7 linked regions of the Canis lupus familiaris genome follow. The main gene of each other region encodes a partner of the protein of the gene in region 7 in a complex. Links are inferred from orthologs where the notes say so. Each region holds a gene or a part of one and is shown on either strand. Other genes may lie near its edges. The genes, in order: SRRM2, TXNL4A, LSM5, RBMX2, CWC15, CRNKL1 and SNRNP40.

What was found.
Region 1: SNRNP40 (region 7) and SRRM2 share a complex: the UniProt entries of both Homo sapiens proteins name them as parts of the minor spliceosome. The link is inferred for Canis lupus familiaris from reciprocal best matches to the Homo sapiens genes SNRNP40 and SRRM2.
Region 2: SNRNP40 (region 7) and TXNL4A share a complex: the UniProt entries of both Homo sapiens proteins name them as parts of the U4/U6-U5 tri-snRNP complex. The link is inferred for Canis lupus familiaris from reciprocal best matches to the Homo sapiens genes SNRNP40 and TXNL4A.
Region 3: SNRNP40 (region 7) and LSM5 share a complex: the UniProt entries of both Homo sapiens proteins name them as parts of the U4/U6-U5 tri-snRNP complex. The link is inferred for Canis lupus familiaris from reciprocal best matches to the Homo sapiens genes SNRNP40 and LSM5.
Region 4: SNRNP40 (region 7) and RBMX2 share a complex: the UniProt entries of both Homo sapiens proteins name them as parts of the minor spliceosome. The link is inferred for Canis lupus familiaris from reciprocal best matches to the Homo sapiens genes SNRNP40 and RBMX2.
Region 5: SNRNP40 (region 7) and CWC15 share a complex: the UniProt entries of both Homo sapiens proteins name them as parts of the minor spliceosome. The link is inferred for Canis lupus familiaris from reciprocal best matches to the Homo sapiens genes SNRNP40 and CWC15.
Region 6: SNRNP40 (region 7) and CRNKL1 share a complex: the UniProt entries of both Homo sapiens proteins name them as parts of the minor spliceosome. The link is inferred for Canis lupus familiaris from reciprocal best matches to the Homo sapiens genes SNRNP40 and CRNKL1.

What each region holds. Positions count from the first base shown.
Region 1 is NC_049227.1:38,744,294-38,747,948, reverse strand, and holds part of SRRM2 (serine/arginine repetitive matrix protein 2), read right to left. Parts: coding exon 3,629-3,655; intron 2,651-3,628; coding exon 1-2,650. UniProt on the Homo sapiens protein: Required for pre-mRNA splicing as component of the spliceosome. As a component of the minor spliceosome, involved in the splicing of U12-type introns in pre-mRNAs.
Region 2 is NC_049222.1:688,205-692,622, forward strand, and holds the start of TXNL4A (thioredoxin-like protein 4A), read left to right. Parts: upstream 1-1,511; 5' UTR 1,512-1,623; intron 1,624-1,981; exon of another isoform or gene 1,982-1,990; 5' UTR 1,991-2,024; coding exon 2,025-2,177; intron 2,178-4,078; exon of another isoform or gene 4,079-4,148; intron 4,149-4,418. UniProt on the Homo sapiens protein: Plays a role in pre-mRNA splicing as component of the U5 snRNP and U4/U6-U5 tri-snRNP complexes that are involved in spliceosome assembly, and as component of the precatalytic spliceosome (spliceosome B complex).
Region 3 is NC_049235.1:44,955,631-44,959,785, reverse strand, and holds the start of LSM5 (U6 snRNA-associated Sm-like protein LSm5), read left to right. Parts: upstream 1-1,281; 5' UTR 1,282-1,393; coding exon 1,394-1,439; intron 1,440-2,525; coding exon 2,526-2,621; intron 2,622-2,906; coding exon 2,907-2,934; intron 2,935-3,610; coding exon 3,611-3,683; intron 3,684-4,087; coding exon 4,088-4,120; 3' UTR 4,121-4,155. UniProt on the Homo sapiens protein: Plays a role in pre-mRNA splicing as component of the U4/U6-U5 tri-snRNP complex that is involved in spliceosome assembly, and as component of the precatalytic spliceosome (spliceosome B complex).
Region 4 is NC_049260.1:102,430,674-102,434,842, reverse strand, and holds the start of RBMX2 (RNA-binding motif protein, X-linked 2), read right to left. Parts: upstream 2,906-4,169; 5' UTR 2,777-2,905; coding exon 2,772-2,776; intron 2,577-2,771; coding exon 2,461-2,576; intron 1,201-2,460; coding exon 1,149-1,200; intron 1-1,148. UniProt on the Homo sapiens protein: Involved in pre-mRNA splicing as component of the activated spliceosome. As a component of the minor spliceosome, involved in the splicing of U12-type introns in pre-mRNAs.
Region 5 is NC_049242.1:6,122,815-6,126,469, forward strand, and holds part of CWC15 (spliceosome-associated protein CWC15 homolog), read left to right. Parts: intron 1-3,524; coding exon 3,525-3,643; intron 3,644-3,655. UniProt on the Homo sapiens protein: Involved in pre-mRNA splicing as component of the spliceosome. Component of the PRP19-CDC5L complex that forms an integral part of the spliceosome and is required for activating pre-mRNA splicing.
Region 6 is NC_049245.1:3,693,025-3,696,474, forward strand, and holds the end of CRNKL1 (crooked neck-like protein 1), read left to right. Parts: intron 1-750; coding exon 751-852; intron 853-1,294; coding exon 1,295-1,543; intron 1,544-2,633; coding exon 2,634-2,801; 3' UTR 2,802-2,859; downstream 2,860-3,450. UniProt on the Homo sapiens protein: Involved in pre-mRNA splicing process. As a component of the minor spliceosome, involved in the splicing of U12-type introns in pre-mRNAs.
Region 7 is NC_049223.1:69,145,033-69,148,687, forward strand, and holds part of SNRNP40 (U5 small nuclear ribonucleoprotein 40 kDa protein), read left to right. Parts: intron 1-3,124; coding exon 3,125-3,245; intron 3,246-3,655. UniProt on the Homo sapiens protein: Required for pre-mRNA splicing as component of the activated spliceosome. Component of the U5 small nuclear ribonucleoprotein (snRNP) complex and the U4/U6-U5 tri-snRNP complex, building blocks of the spliceosome.

The sequences.
Region 1 (3,655 bases), on a different chromosome or scaffold from region 7:
GGTTTGGCTTAGCTAACGCACTTTGGTCTTTCGTATCTGGAGATGATCCAACACCACCTCTTTCCCTTGACGGGGTTTTAGGTGTTTCTCTGAGTACTGGTGAGGAATCAGGCTTATCCTGCACTGGAAGAGGACTCAATTTGTCTCTTGGTATGGGAGACGATGCAGTAAAATCCTCCTGAAGGAGTAAGACTGATTTCTCTTTCAATTCAGAAGGCTCCAATCTACTCTGCCCCAGAAAAGATTTAGAGTCCATTGCAGGATATGGGGAAGAGTCAGATTGGGACTTGCTTTGCTCAGGAGACAGTCCAGATTTTAGCCTAGGACTTGACAATTCCCTTCTTTCTGGTCTTGCTGGAGATTTGGGTGCCAGCTCAGTGATTGGAGAGGAGGACCTGGACCGGCCACCCATAAGAGGTGTCTGAGATTTGCTCTGCAGAGATGGAGACTCAGAATGACTCTGTTTCATTTCTGGGCTTGAAGTATCAGATCTAGGATCTGGTGAAGTTTGAGATTGTCCTTTCTGTTGCAAAGAGGAGGCTGCAAAATACAGCTCTCCTGGTGGTGTGCTAGACTTTATTCCTGGACAGAGAGAGAAGAATCCTGAACTTTGTGCTGGTGAGTCTTTAGACTTCTCTTGGGAACATGGTGATTTTGATTCACTAAGACTGTGCCCTGATGGAGTTTGGGGCTTTACTTTAGGGCATGGCGAAGTAGACCCTGAGTGACTTTGTCTTGGTGGTGTTCCAGGTTTCACTTTGGTATCTGGTGAGGAGGACCTAGAACGGCTCTGTCTTTGCAACAATCTAGATTCCATCTTGGAGCAAGGAGACTCTGATCTGCTTTGCCTTGGCGGTGTTTTAGATGTCACCCTACTAGGACTAGGAGAAGAAGAGCCAGAATGGCTTTGGACTGGTGATGTTATTGCCTTGACTTTGGGTTGTGGAGAGGATGACCCAGATCGGCTCCGTCTCGGAGGTGTGCTAGATTTTACTCTAGGAGGAGAGGACCCGGAGCAGCTATGTCTTGAAGGGGTTGCAGATTTCAGCTCAGGGTCAGGTGATGATTCTGAACGGCTCTGTATTTGTGGTGTTGCAGATTGTTCATTTGCCTGGGGACTTGTTACAGACCCTTGCCTTGGTGGTGTTCCAGACTTCACTTTAGGTTGAGGAGATGAACTGGAACAACTCTGTCTTGATGGTGTCTTAGATTTCTGATTAGAAGGAGGTGAAGAACCAGACCGACTTCGCCTCGGTGGTGTTCTGGACTTAGCTTTTGGTTGGGATGATCCAGAGCGACTGCGCCTTGGTGGTGTCCTAGACTTTTGTTTAGGACATGGAGATGATCCTGAAAGGCTTCGCCTCAAAGACAAGCGAGATTTTGCTTTGGACCGTGGTGAAGAAAGAGACCTACTCCGCCTTGAAGAAATGCGAGACTTTTTCATTTCTGGGCTTGAGTTGGACCTGCTCCTTCTCTGTGACGTCCTGGATTTGTTCTTCCGTTCTGATGATGAACCAGATCTGCCTCTTCTTTGTGGTGTTCTAGAGTGAGATCTTCCTCGTCTAACTACACTTCTACTACGAGATCTTCGTCTTGCAGGTGTCCTAGACCGAGATCGTCCTCGTCTTGCTGGTGTCCTAGACCGAGATCGTCCTCGTCTTGCAGGTGTTCTAGACCGAGATCTCCCTCTTCTGGCTGGGGTTCTAGAGCGTGACCGACCCCGTCTGGCTGGGGTTCTAGAGCGTGACCTGCCACTTCTCCTGGCTGGTGATCTGCTACGAGACCTCCGTCGTACTGGCGACCGGGTCCTAGATCTGCGCCTAGCAGGTGTTCTAGAGCGAGACCTGCCCCGCCGGGCTGGTGTTCTAGAGCGTGACCTACGTCTGGCAGGTGTCCTGGATCGTGACCTCCGCCTGGCAGGTGTTCTAGAGCGAGACCTGGCCCGACGGGCTGGTGTTCTAGAACGTGATCTGCCCCTAGTGGCTGGGGATCTAGAGTGTGACCTGCCTCGCCTTGCTGATCTAGACCTGCCTCTTCTCTGGGTATTTCTGCTTCTAGACCAGCCTGGTCTCTGAGGAGACCTAGAGCGGCCACGTCGCTGGGGACTTCTGGAACGTCCCCACCTCTGTGCAGACCGGGACCTACGCCACTGAGGGGACCGGGACCGAGAATGACCCCTTTTGGTAGGGGTTCGAGACCGAGATCGCCCCCTCTTGGTAGCAGTAGGGCTACGGGACCTCCCCACTCTTCGAGAAGGGGTATGAGAATGTGACTTATCCCGCTTTCCCCGGCCATGTGAGCGACTCTTGGATGCGGGAGAAGAAGAAATCTCTCGGCGGGACCCAGGAGCCGGTGCAGGTTTAGGACTTTCAGGGGAAGAGCTGGCATGTCGAGAAACTTTGGTAGGTTGAGGGGATGGTGGGCAGCTCTCTGAAGAAGACTGGGGAGGTTTCTCAGGAGACTTAGGTAGTGAACGGCCCCTGGTTGGGGAACCCTCAGATGGGGGGTTCACTGGCTCCTGACTTAAGGTGGCTGTTGCAAGGGGTTGTGGGGAGCCGCCATGTTGCTCAGCAAGGAGCGGAGTGGGAGCAGGTGGTTCTGGGCCTGTGCTGCTCCTTTCCGGAGAGGGGCTAGGTCGAATTCCAGATTTCTAAGAGTGGAAAAGAAAGTATGGATAGGAACATAAGCACCAGAACTTCCTATTACCTAAAAGACCCCAAACACCCTTTCCAATGAAATTTTCCTCTCACACACCCCATCACACCAACTGGTCCTTTTCTCACCACAGGCAGTCATTCATTAACGAAAGACCGTATAAAAAGACAGTGGGGAAAACATGAAAATATGGACAGGCTATCACTTTAAAAGTCTTATTATCTAGAAAAAACACAATGTAAACTAACATATGACATTTTCTAACAACCGTAACAAAGTGCCATGGCAACATAAAAAAAAGGCACTTTTATTAAATTGAGAAGCAAAGCAATTTCCCTTAAAGTGGGAGGCATCTAACTTCACCCTTGAAAAAGAATACTGAAATAAAAAACAAAGGCAAAGGTTCGAGGACATGACTTATGTAAATAAGACTACAGTTGGTATAGTTATAAGAGCTTTAAATATAAAAAAAAACATTAAGTTTTTGAAGTGATCCATCCTGTAGTTAGAAAACTTGATGACGTGAAAAAAAGAACAAAGAGCTAAGAATTTAGCAAAAAACTATTTATGGAATTTATGAAGTAAGAAAACATTGTGAATAAGGCTCAATCAGAATACCCATAAAACGACACATACTTAAAGCACAGGTATAGTAGCGTGTTCAAATTGCAGGCAGCAACCCAGTGGGTTGGAAACGAGCATTTAAGGAAATAAAAAAGCCTAGATATCACAGATAGTAAAGCTAAACATAATTTAGAAAAAATAAACTTTTACCCAGACTGTATATAAACACATTAAAGGACAATGACATAAAACCTATCAATAGCCAGCAGTCTGAAAACCAGAATTCTGAAGAATTTGTAAATACAAAAGAGAACTTGATCAAAAAGAACCAAATTCACTTCTTTCCTTCTCTTTAAACATCCATCCTAACCCTGCAACCCAATAAACATCCATTAACTCAGAAACATACCTCCTTCTCTTTATCTTTTTCATGAGG
Region 2 (4,418 bases), on a different chromosome or scaffold from region 7:
GCTCAGTAGGTCAACGTCCGCCTTCCGCCTTTTGGCTAAGCTCAGGTCGCGGTCTCTGGGTCCGGGGTTTGGAGTCCCCGCAGGGCCTGCTCGGTGGGAAGCCGGCTTCCCCTGCCCCGCCTCCCCGCCCCACCCCTCCGCCGCTCCCCTACCCTACGACTTGGGGGCATGCACGTGCTCTCTTGAATAAATACAATAAAGCTGCAGCCATTCTTGAAAACAGTTCGTATTCCATAAAATGTTAAACACGGTTATCGCGTGACCCCGGCTTTCCACTCATATACTCTTAGGGAAGCGAAAACCTAAGTCCACACAAACACAAATCCAGATGTTCACAGCAGCATATGCACGACGGCCAGAAAGTGGAAACAGCCAAATGTCAGACGATGGATAAATGAAATGCACACACTGGGTGACGGGCCCTGAGGGGGCACCTGACGGGACGGGCACGGGGTGTTATTCTAGATGTCGACAAATTGAACACCAACAAAAAATAAATGTATAAAAAATAAAAATAAAAAAATGCACACATGCGTATGATGAAGTGGTAACCAGCACCGAGGACCGAATCCTGACGCCCGCGGACAGCGCGGCCTGGAGAAGGCAGTCCCGGGCGATGTCCCGGTCGGTCTCCGCTCGCACGAACTGCCCGGGGCAGGCGGGGGCAGGGAGGCGGGCGGGAGTCCGCGGTCGCCGGGGCTCAGGGACCGCGGGGAGTGGGGACGACCAGCCGACCGCGCTCGGGCCTCCCCCCAGCAGGACGGGAGCTGCCCCAACGGAGACCGCAGTGGCGCTTCTACGACCCCCCGGGGCTGCAGCGCGAGGACCCCACAGGACGTGGGGGATCCTCCGTCAGCTTCTTGACAAAAAGGACGCGCCCGGAGGCGGACGGGGCGACGGGCGACAAGGGCCGTGCGTGTTTCACACGGTGACCCACACCTTAGCTGGTCTTCTGCTGACGCGGCGACCGCACAGCGGGGCCTAGTCTGCCCTGACCGCCCCGGGGACGGCTGTGCGGTGAGCAGGACGGGCCTTCCCCAGCCCGTCACGTCACGGTCCTCGGCCTGTCCCGTGTGCCGGCCCCGTCCCCCGGCTCCCAGCGCTGCTCCCCGCCGGGACCCGAACCGCACCTCGCAGCTCCGCTCGGCCGGCTGCCCTCGTCACACCCCCAGGGCACGGGGGCGCCGCGGAGAAGCTGGGTCGCTCCGAGGGGCCTGACTGGGGCTGAGAATCAGGCGGCAAAGCCGGGCCCCCCGTGACCGCGGCGACACCTCAGGAGACCGACCCCGCGGGGTCCGGGGGCCACCGGCCGCACCGCCCGGGCGCACACGGGAGCCCCGGCTCGGTGTCCCTCCCTCCCGGCGCCGGGCGCGCGCGGCCCCTCGTCGGCGGCCACGCGCACGCGCACGCGCACGCGCACGCTCACGCTTACGTCGGGCGGCCACGCGCACGCGCACGCGCACGCTCACGCTTACGTCGGGCGGCCACGCGCACGCTCACGCTCACGCTCGCGTCGGCGGCCACGCGCACGCTCACGCTCGCGTCGGCGGCCACGCGCACGCACCGACCGGCTCGCGTCCCCGCCGGGAAGGGCTGCCGCGCGGGAGGCTGCGGTCGGCTGAGGTGCGGGCGGACGGAGCGGGGAGCGGGGGCGAGGGAGGCAGGGGCTGGCGTCTGCGGGGCGTCCTCGCGGCCCCGTTCTCCTTCCAGGGGTAGAGCTTGACAGGGGCCGGGGCCGGGGCCGGGGGCCGGGGGCAAGGTCTGCGGGGGTCCCAGGCCCTCCCCGCGGCGGGACCGAGGGGCACGGATGGGGGCGACCCCGGGGCCTCCGCACCGGGGACTGGGTCTGCAGGGCGTCCCCTCAGTGCCGTCCCTCTTCCAGGGGTCGGGGGGGTGAGGTCTGCTGTGGGACCCAGGGGCGCGGGCGGGTGCGACGTGCAGCCCTTGCCCGCAGTCGGCCGCAAGGAGCCGGTGCGCACAGTTCCCGCAGGTGTGCCCGCAGGTGTACCCGGAGCCGCCCCGAGATGTCGTACATGCTCCCACACCTGCACAACGGCTGGCAGGTGGATCAGGCCATCCTGTCGGAGGAGGACCGCGTGGTCGTCATCCGCTTTGGACACGACTGGGACCCCACGTGTATGAAGATGGACGAGGTGCTGTACAGCATCGCGGAGAAGGTAACACAGCCCCCCGCCCAGCGTCAGCCTAGGAAGCTGTGGTCTTTGGTTTGCCCCGTTTGCTAGGTGGCTGCAGGGTTGGAGTGAGGTGACCGCGTGCAGGTCCTCCTCTTCCTCCAGGCTGCAGAGGCGCAGCAGGGTCCAAGGGCCTGACCCCCGCGTGGAGGCTCCAGGCCTCAGAGGGTAGGGTGCGGCGGGCTCAGGGGGCCTGACCCTGTGCCCCGAGGCTACGGTCCTTCCGTGGGAGCAGTGTGTCCCTGGTCTCCAGGTTTTGAAGGGGTTCATGGTGCCACCTCCACGGAGCTGGGAGCAGCACACCTAGGGACTTCGTGGAACGCCATTTTAGCCAGGTAGCTGCACAGGATTGCCAGTTTTTGGTGCTTTGCTCCCTGTGTGTGGGAGGCAGTCGTGCCTGTCAGGGGAAGGAAAGCCTGTTCTCCATCCCGGTCTTTGTGCCCTAAGTGCACTCCTAGCTCAGACGTGCTCTGGGAGACTTGCCTGGTTGGACCCAGTCTGGGTCACCATGCTGGCACCCTGGCTTGTCGGAGGCTCTGTTGGCAGTTCCAGAACCAGCAGCACCTGGTGCTCTCCTGTGGGCTCTGTGGGCTCATTTCAGGAGAACTTTCATTTGGATGTGTAGTTGTAGCCAATTCATAGATTACTTACTGATATTCCGTAAATAAGGAGAGGTCAAGAGTAATGGAAACATTAAAGCCATGATTTCTTTCAGAGGAAGAAGGGCTTAAGATAGCTCAGTACATGGTAACAGGTGTAGGGACAGATGTGTCTGGGAAAGGCGAAGTCTCGGGGGTCAGAGCAGGACCCCACATTGAGGTTAGTTCACTAACAACTATCTGACCTTCCACTGCTACTTTTTCTGATCTCCTGTGTGGCGGGAGAAGCCAAGCGAGGCCGGGTGGTAGCACTGGGAACCGTGGAACTGTGGAGGCCGTCTTTCCGGTCAGTCACGTGAGGATCGCTTGGAAGACTTGCTCAGGTGCACCTCCGAGGTTCTCGTTCTGCAGGTCTGGGGTGAGGTCCACACACAGCTCTGCCCAAAAGCTGCCCTGGGAATTCTGAAGTGGCTTCCAAAAACCACTTGGCAGAGTTCGGGATCAGAGTAAGGGTGCTGGGAGACTGGCCGTTCCCTTTCTCTTCTTGGGGAGCCTGAGGAGGTGCCTGGGGAGCTCGGGAGAGCTGCGGCGCCAGTTTGTCGCGTCAAAAGCAGACACTGCTGTGGTCAGTGAAGAACCACCTCCAAGCACTTTCCTGAGAAACACCATTGCTGCTCTGTTGACCTTGAAATAACGTAGGGTGTGTGTTCTGAATTGTGCGGGGCATGTGGGGGCATAAACACCAGGTGGTGACCAGCTCCTGCTGCCCTCGGTGCAGGGTCAGGATGGTTAGAGACGGGAGGCTCCTTTGGCTCTTCATACCCAGGCAAAACCCAGCAAGACGCTCTTCTTTGGGAGACAGATTTTGTGTTAACCTGAGCTCTTAGGGACTTTCAGCAAGTTGTTTGTTCTTTTCCCATCCCTGTGTGTCAGCTGTAGGCTGGACTGCGGGATCACTGAGGAACGCACTCTGGGATCGAACCTACTGATAAGAACAGTTTAGTTGGGCTCACTTTGAGTATTTGTCTTTGTTTTATCTTTAAGGTACTTTTTCTTTGGTCCAAAAATTTGGATTTCTGTTTTAATAAACTTTTAATATTATATAGTACAGTTATTAGAAATGCAAACTTGAAACTCATCACAAGATAATTGTTTTATTTTCTTCTGTGTAAAGGCAAAACATGAGTTTATAATTCTGGAAGTCCTTCTTGAGCTCAACAGGAATTTTTGAAATTTAAAGTTTTAGTATAAAGAACAACTTAACTATCTAAAAATCTCCCTCTGCAGAAATGGCAGATAGTGGGGGATCTTCCTCATCCTGTCTCGAGCCCTGTTTGGATACCCCAGCTGTTTTAAAGTGAGTAAAAGTTCCACCGTTTAGGCTGGACTTGATTAGATTGTTTCTCCGGGAATGTGGTGTGTTGACTTGATGCTTTGATGGTGCCAACCATCATGAGGCCACCACCTCATGCTGTATTAGTTTTGAGCTGCCCTGAAAACATGGGAGGTAAGCTTAATGATTTTACAGATGTCTGGAGCTTGGTAGAGTGGTAATAACAAAGTTTCCTATTTAAAATCTGATTTTATGCACAGCCTCAGGGAGAGGCTGTGTACCTCTGAGCTGTCT
Region 3 (4,155 bases), on a different chromosome or scaffold from region 7:
ATTATATTTGTTAGTAGGCTTTCTCTTCCATTCATCCTTAAGCTTCTAGAAGGGCAGAAGACATTGTAGTTCTGTTTTGTACAGTTTTATACTCAGCAAAATGCCAAATAGTGTGTAGCTAATGCATATTTGTTCCATGAATGAATGATGTGTGTATTACAACTATCTGTTGTATGAATGAATGATGTTTTTTTCTGCTCTCTCCTGTTTAGACTCGTCAGCCTTACGTTCCTGGGATACAAATATGAAACAGACTTAAGGCAGAGAATTTGTTTGCTTTCTATTCTTTGCAAAACAGAAGTGCAAAAAGCCTGGGATCCCTGGGTGGCGCAGCGGTTTGGCGCCTGCCTTTGGCCCAGGGCGTGATCCTGGATACCCGGGATCGAATCCCACGTCGGGCTCCCGGTGCATGGAGCCTGCTTCTCCCTCTGCCTGTGTCTCTGCTTCTCTCTCTCTCTCTGTGACTGTCATAAATAAATAAAAATTTAAAAAAACAAAACAAAACAAAAAAAAAACAAAAAGCCTTAAGGTTTCCTGTGTGATGACATTAGCGGACAGTGACATCTGGTGGCTGCTTATAAGACAAGACAGTTAAGTGTTGAAAGTGGATACAGTCTGTGATAAATTGGACTCCTAGCTACAACAAGGTAAGAATGATAAGGTAGTAGGCATAAAAATAAAATGTGTTTTAAATTTCCACTGTAGAAGGTTTTTTTTCTTTTTAAATGCTGGTTGTGGGTTTTCAATTCACTGGACTTTAAAAAGAAGCACTAGATTCTTTTTTCTCTCTTCTTTAAATAGGCTCCGCACCCAACGTGGAGCCCAACCAGCGGATCCTGAGATCAAGACCTGAGCTGAGATCTAGTCTGAGGCTTAACCCACTGAGGCACATGGGCGCTCTAGGAGTAGATGCTTTGAAAAACGGCTTTTACAAAAACTGCAACACAGTGCATTAGTGGCAAAAAAAAAAAAAAAAAAAAAAATTTTTGGTTCGGTCTGAAAAAAGATCCTGGCTTGAGATGAGGTGCAACTTCATAGCAGAAAATAAGACGATTCAAAGATTTCCGTATTTTGCAAAACCTTCCGGGTTGCAGGAAGGATTTATTCACAAAGCAGGATCCCTTTAGCGTCTGTCTGTCGGAAACTGCCCGGGGAAAGCCGCTACGTGCCCAGACCGCACCACCTGCAGCGGACGGAACCTTCTCCCCGAGAGCTCAGCGCCCGGGAAAGAAGCGATTGGGAAGGAGCGACTCCTGCGGACTGATTGGATCGCAAGTTCGGCCTCCGATTGGTCGAGCCTGTCCGGGCCGCGGGCCGGCGGGGGGAGCGGAAGCGCGCTCTTTCAAACTTGCCGGGCTGACGGCGAGGCCGGCGGGCCACTTCCGGCGTAGCCATGGCGGCCAACGCTACCACTAACCCGTCGCAGCTGCTGCCTCTAGGTAATCGCGGAGAAGGGGACCGGAGGGCTCAGGCTAAGTGTTGGGGCCCGGGCGGCTGCGGCTGAAGTAGCCCTTGGTCGAGTGTTAGGGAAATGTGGGGATGAAGGGCCTCAGTGCTCCGCGGCTCGTCTGCCGGCTCCCGAGTGTCTGCGGCCCCGGGCCGCCCGGGAGCCTCTCTGCACTAGGCACGAGGGCTGGGCGCTCTTGGACAAATTCAGACGCCTCCCACTGCCTGCGGATAGCACACACACCAGGAGGAGATAGAGCGCTCCACCTGTAAGCATCACGCCGAGTGATAACGAAGCCAGCTAACGAGGCGTTCAAACTGCGGTCCGAACACAGAGATAGTGACAGGAAGAAATCTCTGGTGGATACGGTTGTGCCTCTTCCGATATTTTGTAGCCAAAGAGTTGATGGAGTTATCGGAAGTGGCCTTGTTTTGGAAGTTTTCATTCTTTGATTCCACCAACTCTTTTTGAACGCTTGCTATGTGCCAGACATTGCCCACTGAGGATAGAGTCCTGGGAAAACAACCACAGTTGTTTCATGGGGCTTAGACTCTTAAAAAAAAACATCAAACAAACATTTTTATTCATTCATGAGAGACACCCAGAGAGGTGGAGAAGCAGCCTCCATGCAGGGAGCCCGATGCAGGACTCGATCCTAGGACCCCAGGATCACGCCCTGGGCTGCAGGCAGGCGCTAAACCGCTGAACCACCTGGGCTGCAGGGGGTGGGGGGGGCTCAGATGTTAATTATATATTAATTATGCATTTCGTATGTTAATCAAAATCACTTAAAATAACATTAAACCACAACCGTGATGGATAAACTTCAACAAAGGAGAGGTAAGTGGTAAACAGGACGTTTTTGTTTATGCAACAGAGATAACGTACCGTAAAATCTCTAAAGTTTTTGAATGAATACTTTCTCTGGTTTATCTTTCACAGTAAGTAACTAACAAGTGCCAGTAGGCATTCCAATATTTGTTGAAGAAATGAACAGGTAAAATAATCTTTTTTTCTCCACCCCCCCACCCCTCTTTTTTTTTCTTTAAAAAAAAAAAATATATATATATATATATAGAGCTCGTGGACAAATGTATAGGATCAAGAATTCACATTGTGATGAAGAGTGATAAAGAAATTGTTGGCACACTTTTGGGATTTGATGACTTTGTCAGTATCCTTTCAAAAGGTGGTGGTGGTATGGGTTTTCCTGCAGTACTTAAGAACAGAAATAAGAATATGGACAGTCAGTACGTAACTGGTTATTGTATTAGAAATTTATTCACCTCTTGATAGCGTTTTAAGAGGTGTGTGTACTGAAAAAAGATAAAGTTCCTACCGATTACTAGTATTTTGCTCTGGAGCCATTGTATTAAACGTTGTAATTAAAATGGAGTAAAGATAGAAGCCAGAGTAAATTCAACCTGGTATATGTATTTTTCTTAACACCAAATTTCAGATATGGTACTGGAGGATGTCACTGAGTTGTGAGTAGTGTTAAAAATTAAAGAATTGGGGGGAATCTCTCCTTAAGTCAATTTTAGTATTAATGAGTTTAAAATGATTAATGAGAAAACATTGCCTGTCAGAAATACCTTAAAGATAGAAATTTTATCTACTGACACTGGTAAAATTGGATCAGTTATTACCGGATGTAATTATTATGTTATTATTAATGACTGGTAGGGACTTAGTGGAGACTGAGCTTTGAGATAAAAGATACTAAAAACAGCCAAGGATGTTTGTGCTCAGACAAATCAAGGCATTAAACTTAAGATATAAATGATAGCTCCATTATATTAGTTTTAAAGATCACAACCAGTGTCTGCTTTCAAAATTGAGTTGATTACAGATTGGTTTAATGGGTAAGGGATTAGTAGTAAATAATAGTAAAAAGGTGAGGCTAGTAAACATTCCATTTCATATTTGATCTCTTTGGCCAGTTTTAGCTTCTTTTAGTTTTGATCCTAGTGGATGTGGATCTGAGGCCAGTCAGTTCACTGTGTTGCCTTTGGTCATCCAGTGGATAACCTTTGTCTCTGAAAACTACTGACATAATTGCTCAACCTCATATTCATATAATATAAGAATAACTTTTTTAGGGATCAGAATGTTGGCTTTGATTATCATTGTTTATCTTGACTCTTTTATTTCTTCATTTAGTGAAATCACACCAGAAGGAAGAAGGATCACTAAATTAGATCAAATTTTGCTAAATGGAAATAATATAACAATGGTAAGGTACAGTAAAGCTGGGCGTTTTTTTAGATGTAGCCCATTTTTGTGAGGCAGAGATTACAGATTACTTGGCTTGGTTAAATAAATGTTCATGGCCCAGTGGGTTTAAGTTGGGAATGAGATGCTCCTGTGATCAGGGCTCTAAAGCTGAGCTACTGAACATGACAATAGGCTTAAAGATTAGTTTGCTTGGGCTTTTTAATCTTTTGGTTTGCCAAGAATCATTGTTTAGACTCTAAGTATTAATTGACGATGTTGGGATTATAAACAGAAGCAATGACCTGGAGAAAATGGGAATGTGGGGGAGGAGCAAAGAGGCCAGGTATCTTTGATGGGTGAAAAGGGGTTTTTAGATGATGGGTGTGGTGGTGGTATTAATAAGCTCTTTTTCCTTCTCTGCAGCTAGTTCCTGGAGGAGAAGGTCCTGAAGTATGAATGGATTTCCTTACTCTCTTTTGTCCTATAATGAC
Region 4 (4,169 bases), on a different chromosome or scaffold from region 7:
AATGGCAAAGACAATCTTCATGGAGAGCAAGGTGTACAGCCAGAATAGAGAATTAGAATAAGCAAACACACTAGCTGATCATCACTCAACGCAAATAAGACAAAAACAGCCCCTATGAAGGCTGGACCAGACAGAGGTATCATAAGGGGTGGAAACTACAGGCTGCACCTGCTGTAAACTTCCAGCTGCCCAGAAGTCAGAGAAAGCAGCCTCTGTCTCTCTTGGGCGCTAAGCCAGAGTGGGCTGCCGAAGCCCTCTCTCATGGCCCTCTCATGGGTACTGCCCAATTTCTTTTCCATGGCCCTCTCCTCCATAAGCTGCTCCACCACTCAGCCACGGTCCTCTTCCTATTGGACGGCCCCACCATCCCCTGACATGGCAATGTCTCCGCCACAGTGTGCTGGCAGTGTTTACTTCCCCAAATCCTTCTGCCACAGTCCTCTGCCCTCAGGGTCCCTAAGGCCCCATGGACTGTCTAACCACTCTGTGTAGCTCTGGGTTGTGCCCAGCCCCTCTCCCACCAGCCGCCACCACCAGTGCAAGATGCTCTCCCACCCAATGCTGCTGCTTTCATCTATGGGCAGAATGAAGAATATAAGGTTCACCTATTCATCCTTGTTCCTCATCAGCCCATAATTCTCAGCTTCTGGGTAAAGAGACCGGTTCTGCTTACTAATCTTATACCCATCTAGAAACAAGAAAACTGCCTAAACTTTTTGCTTTTTCTCCCATTCCTCTGTGCTTTGCCCTAATCCCACAACACCACACAGGTGTAGGCCAGAAGGGCCCTGTGATCATGGATTACCCTTGGGTTTGCAGGAGCCCAAGGAGTCCAACATGGTAGTTTCCTGTGAGTAAGTCTATTCTGGTGTAGGCACAGGCTGAACAAGCCTCACTTAAAAAGCAATAAAAATAGACCAGAATCCCCAAGACAGCCTCCTAAATCATCTAACTTCTTGGATTTTCCATATTGGGAGCTCTATAACCATGTCCTGGGGCTGATCTAGACTAGAGCAGAAGCTCCAGCCCTCCCCATGCAGGGAGCCCAGTCAGACTAGAATAAAACAAATAGACTTTGTGAGGCCACAAAATGTATTAAGCAAGCATAATTTGATGACCCAGAAGGCAGGAAATGAAAAAGGACTTACTGTGAGAACACACAGATAATGTCCCCTTCAGTCAGTTCATAAGGAAGCCCTCCTAGGAGAGAAAACCACATTTCAGTTCCACAAACATTTACCAAGCATCTCCTCCATACCATGCACTAGGCCCAGCAATGTGGGTGCAAAGAAGAGTAAGCCACAGGGCCTGCCCTCAAAGAACTCACAGTCTGACGATTTAACAGAATCATATATAAGGTGCGGCACTAGTGCAGCAAAAGGAGTGATTAACTTTGTGGAAAGGTCAGTGTCATCACTAACCAAATACTCCCCACACCCAAAACCTTGCAAAGCAGACAGTTTGCAGCATAAAACTCTGTTTCCACAAACATATCTTGAACTCACCTGCTCTTTTTTTTAAGATTTTATTTATTTATTCATGAGAGACACAGAAAGCGAGGCAGAGACATAGGCTGAGGGAGAAATGGGAGCCTGATGCAGGACTCAATACCAGGACTCCAAAATCACAACCTGAGCCAAAGGCAGACGCTCAACCACTGATCCACCCAGGTGCCCGGAACTCACAAACTCACAGCTAAGATTACAGCAAAATCAGTTTAAATATGAAAATATTACCCCACCTCACATAGACTAAGGAATCTTTGGTTGTCTATAGACAACTGTTCAGCATTTCATAGGAAATAAATTCCCCTGCAAATCTTTCGTTCCTCATCTGTAAAATGGGGATATTAGTACTTATTTCACAGAACTGTTGTAAGAATTAAATAAAACAATGGACATAAAGTGCTTAGCACAATATCTGGTGCAATAACTTCTTTGCCCAAACTTTCATATTATTGGATGCGACACAAGTGAATACAGAGATGACAATATGGCCACGGACAGAAGGCAGAAGTTAAGTAAATGAGGAAAATGAATTCTGAGGGAAGGAGAAAGGGCGGGGGGGGGGGCGCTAGCAGTAATACAAGATGGTGGTTAAGATCATCAGTTCTAGAATCCCATAGTTCTGGTTGTTCCACTTATTACCCATGTGACTTTAAGGAAGTCCATTAACCTCCTCAGCTATGTAACAGGGGGGCGCGGTATGATAACAGTCTCTGAAACCAAGTGGCAAGGACCACAGTGAACGGCAAAGGTAACTATTATGGTCACTGACTTGGCAGGAGGAGCAAACTAGAAATGGAAGAGAAAAGAGATACAGAAAACGGATTTACGGGGCAGCCAGAAGAAAGAAATCTAAGTGCGTGATGAACGTCAGAAGGAAGGAAAGGCGGGAATGCTGAAAGGTTAGGAAGCGCACCAGGAGAGAATGAGCAGTGCAGAAAGATGTGACTCTCACCCAGGAAGATCCAGGCGCTGTCCTTGTACTCAGAGTGCCAGGACACCTTATCTGCCACCCCAAGCTGGACCTCACGCTCATTCAGCTCGTTGATCAGCTTCACTTTAGTTAAAGGGCTGCAGAGAGAGGCGGAAAAGCGGCCGTTAAGTGCGGCCTGGCCAGAGGTAAGGGAGAGCAGAACTAGAGGGCTAGTTCTCCAGTCTCCGCGCCTCTCCCACCCCTCGGCCCCGCAGGCTCTCTACCACCCCAGCCCCGGTGGGCAACTTCCCGCGGCCGGTCCCTACTTCTTAAGAGGTAAACTGAGGCCTTACTTCATCTCCTCAGGTTCGCGCTCAGCACGGAGACGTTAACTTCCGGGTGAGTCTGTGTCGCGCGTGCGCAGCGCCGATGCCGTGCGCCCATTGGACTCCGCGGAGTTCGCGCTGCGCCACGCCGGAAAGACGGGCGCGCTGGGGAGCTGCGCTTGCGTAGTAGCGCGGAGAGGCCCTTGGCTCGCTCTGCGTGTTTCGCTCTATCAGGGACTCTATCTAGCTTCTCGCTTAGTCCGTCTGTGAAACGCGGCATGGGTGTGAAGCGGGTTTATTACAGGACCCTCAGCTGCTGGAGGACGCCTGGCATTGATTGGGCTAGCTATAAATGTTTACTGAATTGAGATTGAAAAAGGTGCTGCTCTAGCAACTGTAGTCCCTGGCTCTATCCTCAGTGAAAATCCCCTTTCGGGCTTCCACTCCCAGCCAGTCGCTCACGCACACACACCCCTCAAACCATCCCTGATCAGAAATTGCAGCAGAAAAGTGAAGAAGGTATGTGAGAGGGGAAATCATTTTTTTCTCCCTTAAATCCAAATGCATAGGCAACTAACCAGTCTGATCGAATACCCAGATTTGTCTAAGAGCTCACCCTTTTCCCATAGTCTCGCTCCTACTTAAGCAGGAGGCAGAAATAAATAATGAGAAAGCTAATAGTTAAGCATATGCTACGTTGTGTGCTAAGCAATTCACTTGTACTGGCCCTCCCTCCTCATAACTAACCCCATGGAGTCTATACATACAATTACCTTCCTTGTACCGAGGAAGAAACTGAGATTCGAAGGAATTAGTTAACTCAAAGGATGTCCTCTGCCTCTACCTATCAGGTCTTGTTGACTTACTCAGTCCTTACTGAGGATCTATATTTGTCTTGTACAGTAAAATCTGTAGACAGGAATGTAAGGTGAAGTCCTCTGCCCTCTGGAGCTAATGATATCATTAAGGAGACAAAATATATTTGCTTGGTAGATTTCACTCCAGAAATAATGAGGAACCCATAGAAGGTATGGTGGCATACCTTCAGTGTGATATAAGCCATATTGAAGTTTTGAATCCATCTCATATGTGTCCATGTCAATAACTGGTATCAGACCATGCCTGGTCTAAAAGTGAAGTTCCAGAGCTGGGTAGTTCTCTGTGTAGGCCCAGCTTAGAGCCCCAGAAATTAAGCATTTCATAAAAGTACTTTGATGATGGGATTATGACAACTGTACCCTCAATGACCCATCATGTACCCACATCCTGACAAAAGCAGGAGACTCTCCACCAATCAAAGTTTCCCTTCATTCATTCTGTGTTTGTGCCCCCACCCCATCCAGCTCAGCTATTCATTAACTTTATGGAATTATCTTGGCAATGAAAACTAAACAGTGACAGATTGCATACAGGTTTTATCTGCTC
Region 5 (3,655 bases), on a different chromosome or scaffold from region 7:
AGTAGTAACAATAAGAGATGAAAAGGTGAGCAAGAGCAGGTCAGAAAAGTAGAGGTTCATTAGCCAATGCTAAAGGGGTTTGGACTTTGTCTTATTCTTTTTTCTTTTTTTTTTTAAGATATTTATTTATTCATGAGAGAGGCAGAGACATAGGTAGAGGGAGAAGCAGGCTCCCTGCAGGAAGCCTGATACAAGACTCGATCCCAGGACCCCAAGATCACGACCTGAGTGGAAGGTAGACAGCCCCTGAGCCACCGAGGTGCCCCTGGACTCTGTCTTGAAGGCCATGAAGAGCTAGTTGATTTTAGCAGGAGACAAGATTTGATATGCATTTTATTTTTTTATTATGAAATATTTCAGTAACATAGAAAAATATAAATAATAAATTTAATAGTCATCTACTTGGCTATGCATTTTAGAAGGATAACCCTGGCAGAAGTATAGAGGATTGGGAAAACTGATTGAGGAAGCTGTTCCAATAATCCTCATATGCAATTAAGATAATTTTGCATAATAGAATTGGAATTGAGAGAAGTAAATAGATGCTGAGAGAGTTGTCAAGGAGGTAAAATTGACCAGATAAAGTGACTGGTTAGCTATGGCAACAAAGATGACCCTCAGTTCCTGGGTAGATGTTGTTGACATTAACTAATACAGGGGATGGCAGAAGGATGCACATGTTTAGGTGGAGAGAAAAGAGATGATGAGCTCTGGAACGTGTTGAATTTGACACATTATGAGATACTTAGATGGAGATGTCTGTCTCCACTTTCAAACAGAACAGCTCAGCTTTTTTTTTATGAGCTTCTGTGTAAATTTTCATTTGAACCAAGAATTACTCTGTTTAAAGAGGGGGGAAAGACTGACATGGGTTCATGTGAGGAATCCAGAGAAGTAGAAGATTGCTGGAATTCAAATTGGAAGAATATTTTATTTATTTATTTTTCAAAGAATTTATTTGTCCATTCATGAGAGAAACAGAGAGAGAGGCAGAAACACAGGCAGAGGGAGAAGCAGGCTCCACGCAGAGAGCCCGATGCGGGACTCCATCCTAGGTCTCCAGGATCACACCCTGGGCTGACCCGGCGCCAAACCGCTGAGCCACCCAGGCTGCCCAAGAAGAATATTTTAAATACAATTTCCATCAAAGTTTGGCATTGGATAGCGTGATTCCCATAATAGCTTATAATTGTCATATTTAATTTTTAAAAATCAAAGAATTATAAGAACTTTCCTGATAGTAGATATTACTTGCCCACCACTAGAGGGCAGTTGTATTCCATATTCTTTTGACTTGCCTAACAGCTCTGGATACATAGAGACAAGAAATATAGGTGCATTTGGTTGACCCTTAAAAAGGATAAATATTTTAGACAGAAGGTCTTGGAATTTTGTAAGATTCCTCTACTCTCTTTGTACAAAAATATATTGGTGTTCCTAGGGGTTGAAGGACAGTTTTACTTTGGTTTCTGTTTCCCTGGCTGGTTTTCTAGCGGCTGATTTTTGAAGTGTCCCAATATAACATTTTCAAACCAATTAGCCTGTGTCAGGGGCTAGGAAGCTTTCTGTAAAGGGGGCCAGATGGTAAATATTTCAGGATATTTCTAGCTTGCAGACCATGCAATCTCTAGTGTGGTTCTTTAGTTCTGCTCACTGAAGTGTGGAAGCAACTATAGACAATGCAGAAATGAATGAGTTTACTGTGTTCCACTAAAATTTTGTTAACAACAATGGGGTGGTTTGGATTTCATCTGCAAGCTGATTATAGCCTGTGTTTGTGAACCATAATGTTTCTGGGACTTGAATATGGAAAGAGTTGGCACCTTTTTTTCCCAGTGGTTTATGTGGCAGCCAGCCAGGACTCTAAAGGAAGTAATATTCCAAATATAAAATGGCCAGAACTTTATTATATCACATACATTATTATAAGATGGATACGTTGTATGTTTGAGCTCTTATTTTTTTAGAATCTCAGAGAAATGTCTTTTCACTTTCAATATCAATATAATTTGCAAAAAAATACATTGTTTTTAGAAAGCTATCTGTTCTTAATCTGTGATGGAACACATGTGCCTGATTTTGTTTGCTTAAGGTCTGAGTAGTGACCTAAAGGAATTTACCTGTTTATTTCCCTGATTATTGCATCTTCTCACTTTCCAGTCATTTGGCCTCTTAAAAATGAAATCTGTTGTTCACATTTGGATATTAAAATGAAACATCATTAACCTGTATGGAAAATTTTGAACTTTCTTAGGCTTTGTTTTTTTTCTTTAAGATTTACTTATTTGAGAGAGTGTGTGTGTGAGCAGGGGATGGAGAGAATCCCAAGCAGATTTCCCTCTGAGGGTGGGGCCTGATGCAGGGCTAGATTTCACTGCCCTGAGATCATGACCTGAGCTGAAATCAAGAGTCAGATGCTTAACCAACTTAGCTACCCAGATGCCCCTGTTAGGTTCGTTTTAAATTGGAAGTCCCTGGGGATGCATGGGTGGCTCAGTCAGGTAAGTATCTACCTTCAACTCCAGTCATGAGGCTAGAGTCCTGGGATCAAGCCCCATGTCAGGCTCCTGGCTCAGCGAGAAGCCTGCTTCTCCCTCTCCCTGCTGCTTTGCACACATGCTCTCTCTCTCAAATAAATAAAATCTTTAAAAAAAAATAAATTGAAGGTCTCTTTTTCCTTGATCTATTAAGTCATCAGTTTTCCCCTTCCTAAAATACAATAAAGTGGGATTTATTTTTGGTTTAAGAGAGCATGAACAGGTAGATCTAGCAGTTGCTATGGCTAAGAATTGTAGGCATTTTATGTTTCTAATTCTAAGAATGAAACTGAGGCTGATTTGAGTTTAAAGAAATTAATGCTAAATTAAAAGTAAAGAAAGACAAGCTCATAACTGATGAAGGATGAGAGGTATGAAAATGGAAAGTTAGTAACAAATCATAAGAACAAAATGGATAAACGTGGGGTAGATTAGTAGAAATGCATGTTAACTGAATATAATATTTTACATGATAGTTTTAGCTACTTATGGGCTAATAATAACTTATCACTAGTCCTGGAAGTGCAAATTTACACTGTTAATAATTCAAAATAAAATTATTTTTAATCATAGTTCTATATAGCCCATCTTTAAAAATCAAAGTAATAGCTTTGCTAAATGTGTTTCTTTGATGTTTAACATACCCTTAAATGACTAGAATGTATTATTGATGGACTCTTAAAATAAGCAATTAATTTTGGATGTACTTCAAGAAAGAAAACATTTAAATAGGCATTCATAGAATTTCAGAGTCAGACTAATGAATGTAGACAAGCATGAACTATTTATTATAAGGCCAAATTATTTTGGTAAGTGAAACTTTTCTGGTATTTCTTATATCTTAAAAAACAAAACAATAAACAACCTACCTTGATGCTTATTCCTTCTCCATCATAAAATCCTAACAATCTTTTAAAATTTGAGTTATGAAAGAAGATTGACCCCAGAATTAATGTAAGTAAATGAGTCCTCCTCTGTCATTGACAGGAACAAGAACAGAAAGCTGAAGAAGAAAGAATACGTATGGAAAACATTTTGAGTGGAAACCCTCTCCTTAATCTCACTGGTCCATCCCAGCCACAGGCCAACTTCAAAGTTAAAAGAAGGTACTTTACACA
Region 6 (3,450 bases), on a different chromosome or scaffold from region 7:
AGCAAAAGAAGCTCTGTCTAAACCACCATATTGCTGAAATTAAATTGCCGAGGTCCTGACCTATCCTAGGAGCTAAAATCATCCCTTCCCTATTTAAACTTGAGCCACAAGGTGGCGCCAAACCACGGAGAGGCTGGATTTGAGAGCCACTGAACTCACCCAGCCTTTTTTGTTAGTCCTGCCCCAGTGTGAGTTCATTTTGTGGCTTGGGCTGCATAGGCCAGGGCTTTGTGTATTATTGGTTCCGTCGGCTGGCCTCCACTGCTAGGCGTCCAGGCCATGTTTTACTTCATCCTTTTTCTCTGACAAGCAGTACCCAGCAAGTAGGCTGGGTACTCAGACATGAAGGAATTTACAGTGGAGGTAAGAAGAATATATCCTGGCTAATCTAGGCATGTCTTCTGGCAATGTCAAGTTGTATGTGATAGGATCATGGCAGTGTCTAGGAGACTTGGCAGTCTCTGAGCTTTTCTTGGGAAGTCTAGCATTTGAAAAACTCTGAAAGAAAATCCAAAAATGAATCCTGAATCCAAAGCCTTTTATCTCATAATGTAGAATGGTAACCACATTTTGGCCAGCTTGTAAACACCACTGGTTTTATTGTGTCCAGATGCTGCCTGTTCCTTAACTGTTCATAGAAGTTCCTAGGTTCTAGGTGTTCTAGGTTGGAATGGTAGTTAAGCTCAGCTTTGGATAGGGACGTGTTGCTCTTTAAATGTCAAGGCTGATTTATTAAGTTTTCTTTTGTAGGTGCTTTGGAAATCATACATTGATTTTGAAATTGAGCAGGAAGAAACGGAGAGAACACGAAATCTTTACCGAAGATTGCTTCAGCGGACACAGCATGTCAAGGTACCCTGCACTCTGTAGATTATCTCTGATTTTGGTTGAATCAGCAGTCCTGAAGGAAATAACATATTTTTGTATTTTAAGTGTTTCAAGTTTGGTTTGTAATGATTTTCTTGCATTTAGAAAGAGCCTCTGAGTCTCAGAGGACTTTGTGATATAAAGCTTATAGCAGGTCAGTATTTATACTGCATGGGAATAACTTGAATATCATAGGATTGAGTAAAAAGCTAAACTCTTTTCAGGATTTTACGACTATTTCAAACACCTAATTGGTTAGAGAAGCAGACTGATTTCAACATTATTGAAGCATATAATCAATATGTTCTTTGGAATACTATAGATAAACATGTTAGTATGTTCAGATGTCATTAACTAGAATTAGCATTACTACATGACCATTTTCTGGGTGACATGTTAATTTGCTTCTGTAATAATTTTTCTAAAGGTATGGATCAGCTTTGCACAGTTTGAGCTATCATCAAGGAAAGAAGGAAGTTTGGCTAAATGCAGACAGATTTATGAAGAGGCTAACAAAACCATGAGGAACTGTGAAGAAAAGGAAGAGAGACTTATGTTGCTGGAATCATGGCGAAGCTTTGAAGATGAATTTGGAACAGTATCAGATAAAGAAAGAGTAGACAAACTCATGCCAGAGAAAGTCAAAAAGAGAAGAAAGGTCCAGGCTGATGATGGGGTAAGAACTGAGCCTCTGGTGCTGGTCATCTCATGTCAGATGAGCAGAAATGCATCTGACTTTGAAATTTGTACTTTTAAGTGTCATATATGAATCTGAACATGGGAGCAGATAGCCTGGAGTAGGAGATGGTTGCAGTCTGTCTACCGTGGAAACACAGAGCAGAGTATATAGATCACCCAGGGGTGGAGAATGGGAGACAGGTGGCAAAGGTTTCTGGGAGATGGTTGATTCTGGGAGCTATATGAAGCATGATGTTTCTGGAGCATTAAACAGGAGGTCAGAGTGAAGGGAAATGAAACTTAGCTTTTAGGTAGGATCCAAGCCACAGACTTTGTAAGCTATAGGAAGGCCCTTATGCACAAAATAACATGACCCAGTGGTTGGCATCTCCTGCAAGCATACCCAAGGGGCTCAGAGTTGAGGAGGACCTATCGGGGAGGCTATTGTAAGCAAAGCAAGTGATGGTGGAAGCTGGAGCTAGGGTAGTCTTTAGAAAGCCAAATAAGTGACCAATTGGAGGTGGGGCTGTAAGGGCAAGGAGTCAGAATAATAGTGCACAGATTTATGACTTTGGTTACTGAGTATTAAATAAGTCTTTAAAAACTTAAAATCTTAGAAAACTAGATGAAGGTGGACATGGAACATGGGATATCTTGGTTGATGAAAGAGGAGGAGCTGTGCTTTGTGTTTTAGGATCTTTTTCCACTGGTTTTTAGCTCTCAGTGAGCTCCACTTGTAGCAACCCCAACCCCAACAGCTACTGTTTGGGTTTTAATTCAATTAACATCTAGTATATAATTAGTTTCAGAGGTAGAATTTAGTGTTTCATCAGTCTTCTGTAATACCGAGTGCTCATCACATCCCCTGCCCTCCTTAATGTCCATCACCCAACAGCTACTTGTTTAGCCCAATCTTGCAAGCCAGCCCTGGTTCTTCTGAGATGGGCTTTGGTGTGGTTTCGTAAAATGAAAGTAAGTTAAATTTGAAGAACTCTGTGGGTTTCGCGGTGAAAATTCTGCACTTTAACTGCAGTGTATTTCAGTCACGTGTTAGCTTATCTTTTCATTGTTTTTTTTTTTTCCCATAGTCTGATGCAGGCTGGGAAGAGTACTATGATTACATCTTTCCAGAAGATGCTGCCAACCAGCCCAACCTCAAGCTCCTGGCCATGGCCAAACTTTGGAAGAAACAACAACAGGAAAAGGAGGCTGCCGAGCAAGACCCAGATAAGGACATTGATGAGACTGAATCCTGATTTTCTTGTTCATATTGATAAATGTTTTATTATTTTTATAAATTAATCATTTGGAACTCTTGTGACTCTAAGTTTTTTTACACCTCACCAGTAACGAATTGATTGGAGTCTTTGATAGCTACTTTTTGAATTATTTTTAAAATGCTCTTGGGGTAAGTGAGGGGTTGGGGGATTGCAAGTAAATTTTTCTAACTGCTGGATTTATCTGAGTCTAAACATTTTTCTTGGTCCACATCACACATTAGGAAATCTAATTGAGGTAATGCTTTCAGCTATTTTAGATGGACCTACAGACTTTTGAAAGTGGTTTTCTAGCGATGTTCAAGTTACATTCTACAGTAACTTTTAAGGTGGTTTTATCATGCTTTTCTTCATAATGATATATAGAGCACACTCACCTGAGACCTCCAACTTTTCTGAATCTTCAGTCACACAGACTTGAGTTTCATTCCCAGCTCTGCCATTTAGTGATCTATAACTTAACCTTTTAGTTTCTTCACTTACAAAATGGCCTTCTGTCAGTTTGAAGATTACATTAGAAATGGAATAGACCTGGCACATTGTGAGGGCTCAATAAAATGTTCATTTCCAGCCACTTTCCTAAACATGTTCATCCTTGTAGAATTGAAATGTGCTTAATTTCTAAATA
Region 7 (3,655 bases):
AATGTGTAAATAAAGTTCCATAAGTACAATAATTACATATATCATTAGCTTTTTTATAAAAGGATATTCTTTAGGAGTGCCTGTGTGGCTCAGTCAGTTGACTGACTCCTCATCTCAGCTCAGGTCTTGATCTCGGGGTCATGAATCCAAACCCTGCATTGGGCTCCATGCTAGGTATGGAGCCTACTTAGAAAATGAATGAATGAATGAATGAATGAATGACCGACCTTCATATTTCTTTGAGAAGATCCCTTATTCTAGTTTTGTATAATTTGGTGAATAGTTCCTACTTATCCTATATGTTGTGTTTTTCTCTTTTCCTTTTTTTTTTTTAAGTTTGTTTATTTTTTATAATCTCTATACCCAATGTGAGGCTTGAACTCATGACCCCTAAGTCAAGAGTCATATGCTTCTCCAACAGCACCAGCCATGGGCCTTGACACTATATGTTTTATAAGTTTACATCATAGCCTTGTAGTCTTTATCTTTTTAAACTAAAAAGTCTGATTTATCTATAAACATTCCAATATTTTTCTGCCAGTGCTTTGTTTTCAGGAAATATTTTTTTATCAGAGTGTACACAGTAGGGTGCCTGTGTGGCTCAGTCAGTTGAGCGTCTGCCTTCGGCTCAGGTGGTCCTGGGATCAAGCCCCACATCAGGCCTCCCTGCTCAGCGGCAAATCATCTTCGCCCTCTCTCTCTGCCCCTCCCCCACACTCATGCTTGCACTCTGTCTCTAAATAAATAAATAAAATCTTAAAAAGAAAAAAGTAAACAAGACTCCAAAAACTTGGGAAAACTTTCTACTCTATACTGTTTCTAGCATGAAAACAGAGTCGATGCCCACTAACCAGATGCCCAAACATTCACTGAACAACTGATTTGGGCATTTGCAAAACATCTTGCTTAAATTAGTTCTTTCTGTAACAAATCCCAGATACACATTGGCTGTACACCAATAGTGTGTGCAGGCCTCAAGAAGGAAGGTTTGAAAATGGTGTCCAAGTGCTACAAGGGATGGCACATTATATTCTCCTAAAAAGCTAAAGACTTCAACAATGCCTTCTCTGAAGAGGAAGAACAATAGCTTGAACAGAAAACGTCAGCCATTTCAAGCTTTCCTGATTATTGAGGCAGCAAACATCCTGACACAAAAATGATTGTTGGGTTCCACACATGAGTGAGTTATTGATGGGGAAAGTGGAGTTGTCTAGCTTATGTATCAACATCAAACTCATTTCTAGGTAAGAGAAGTGCCTTACTTAAGTAGGGAGCAAAAACATTTATTTAATTTCACTTAGAAAAACTACATAGCAATATTAAATCAGATTTGGAGGAAATTCTATATTATACCAATGACCTTAGCAAAATTGCTATTCTTTTTCCATATGACATTCCAGACTATTTATATTACCTTTATATTTTTTATATACTTTCCGTCTATGTAAATATAAATACTGTTTTGTATCTTCCTATTAGCTTAATAACTTATTATTGGAACATTTTTGTATTTGGTCTTCAGAGTTATTTTTAGGAGTTGCTTAATAATAGCTACCAATTATTGAGGGCCTGCTGTGTACCAGGCATCTGCTAAGCCTTCTATTTGTAACCTTCTCAACAGCCATAGGAAGTAAATGTTGTTATCCCCATCTTACAGACCTGAAACAGGCTTAGAGGAGGGTTAGTGGCCCAATAACACATAAGTCTTACAATTTACCCTTTCCACTCTACTATCTCTAGCATAAGGTCATACAGTGTTGCAGTGTGTTTATGGGCCATAACTTAATGAACCATTTATTTTCCCTGTTTGACATTAGGTTATTTCTAGCCACATTTTCTAATGAAAATTTTTAAGCAACTATATTTCTGTGTATTGCCTTGTTCTATACATGTGTGTTTCATCATAATGCCCTTTTCAAATGATGTGTTCACGTATTTTTCTGTAATTCTAAAAGTTAAGTCTTAATTGCTAAGATGCATAGTTTTTTTTTTTAACTTTTTTTTTTTTTTTTTTAAGATTTTATTTATTTATTCATGAGAGACACAGAGAGAGGCAGAGAGAGAAGCAGGCTCCATGCAGGAGCCTGATGCGGGACTCAATCCCGGGACTCTAGGATCATGCCCTGGACCAAAGGCAGGTGCTAAACCGCTGAGCCACCCAGGGATCCCTAAGATGCATAGTTTAAGCTTTTTTTTTTTTTTTTTTTAAGATTTTATTTATTGGAGAGCAGCCTGGGTGGCTCAGTGGTTTAGCACCACCTTTGGCCCAGGTCATGATCCTGGAGAGCCCGGATCAAGTCCCACATTGGGCCCCCTGCATGGAGCCCTGCTTCTCCCTCTGCCTGTGTCTCTGCCTCTCTCTCTCTCTCTCTCTGTCTCTCATGAATAAATAAATAAAATCTTAAAAAAAAAAAAAAGATTTTATTTATTGGGGATCCCTGGGTGGCTCAGCAGTTTAGTGCCTGCCTTTGGCCCAGGGCATAATCCTGGAGTCCCAGGATCAAGTCTTACATGGGGTTCCCTGCGAGGAGCCTGCTTCTCCCTCTGCCTGTGTCTCTGACTCTCTCTCTCTCTCTGTCTCTCATGAATAAAAAAATAAATCTTTAAAGATTTTAGTTTTTAAAGTTTTAATACATTTATAATTTGAAAAGAACTCCTGTAAATTCTTAATTTTTGTTAAACTTTATTATAATATTTGACATTAGTTTATAGCCCTTTAGTCAGACATAGTCACTTTGACTCCCTTTTCAGAAAAACAAGAGGGGTACCTGGGGGTTCAGCTGGTTAAGCATCCGACTCTTGATTTCGGCTCAGACCATGAGCGCAGGGTCATGAGATTGAGCCCCATGTCAGGTTCCCTGCTGGGTATGGAGGTTGCTTAAGGTTCTCTTTTTCCCTCTCCCCCTCCTCCCACCCCCCTCTCATGTTTGCTCTCTCTCTAAAAAAAAAAAAAATTGCAAAAGATAAGAGGTTTTTTTTTTTTCTCTCTTGGCCCATAGCCAGATTGAGAAGGGATGCCAGTTTCTCAAGGCAGTTGACTAGTAACTATATTTTTTTTTTTTTTTTGCTATTCTCAATTTGATTTCTGGGAGTACCTCTTTTTTTTATTTTTATTTTTTTGTAGGTCTGGGACTTGCGCCAAAACAAGCTAACCTACACCATGAGAGGCCATGCAGATTCAGTGACTGGCCTGAGTTTAAGTTCTGAAGGCTCTTATCTCTTGTCCAATGCAATGGACAATACAGGTAACTTTGGAAAGGAAAGCTCTTAAAGGGCCCAGTCACTATAGACTACAAGGAAAGTGGGCATTGGGTTTAGAAATGTATACTGGGATAATGTGGATCAAAGGAAAGAGTCAAGGGTGGTTTGCAGGTTTCTACAAGGGCAATTAGGAGAACACATGGTAATAGAAAAAGCTTTAGAAGATATGGTCAAAAAGCCACGATTCCTGTCCCAGATCTGCCATCTAATCCCTAAGCAACTTTGCACATAGCTTTTAAGACCTGTTTCAGCTCTGGTATGCTGTTGAGCCATGCAGTGTACTAAACTCTTGATAATTATTAGTTTGTTGAGATCCATCCAAAGCAGTTCTAGAACACCGAGTGCACCAAAGTTGGATGACCTGTAGAGCTGTTCTTAGAGTTGCAGTCTTTCT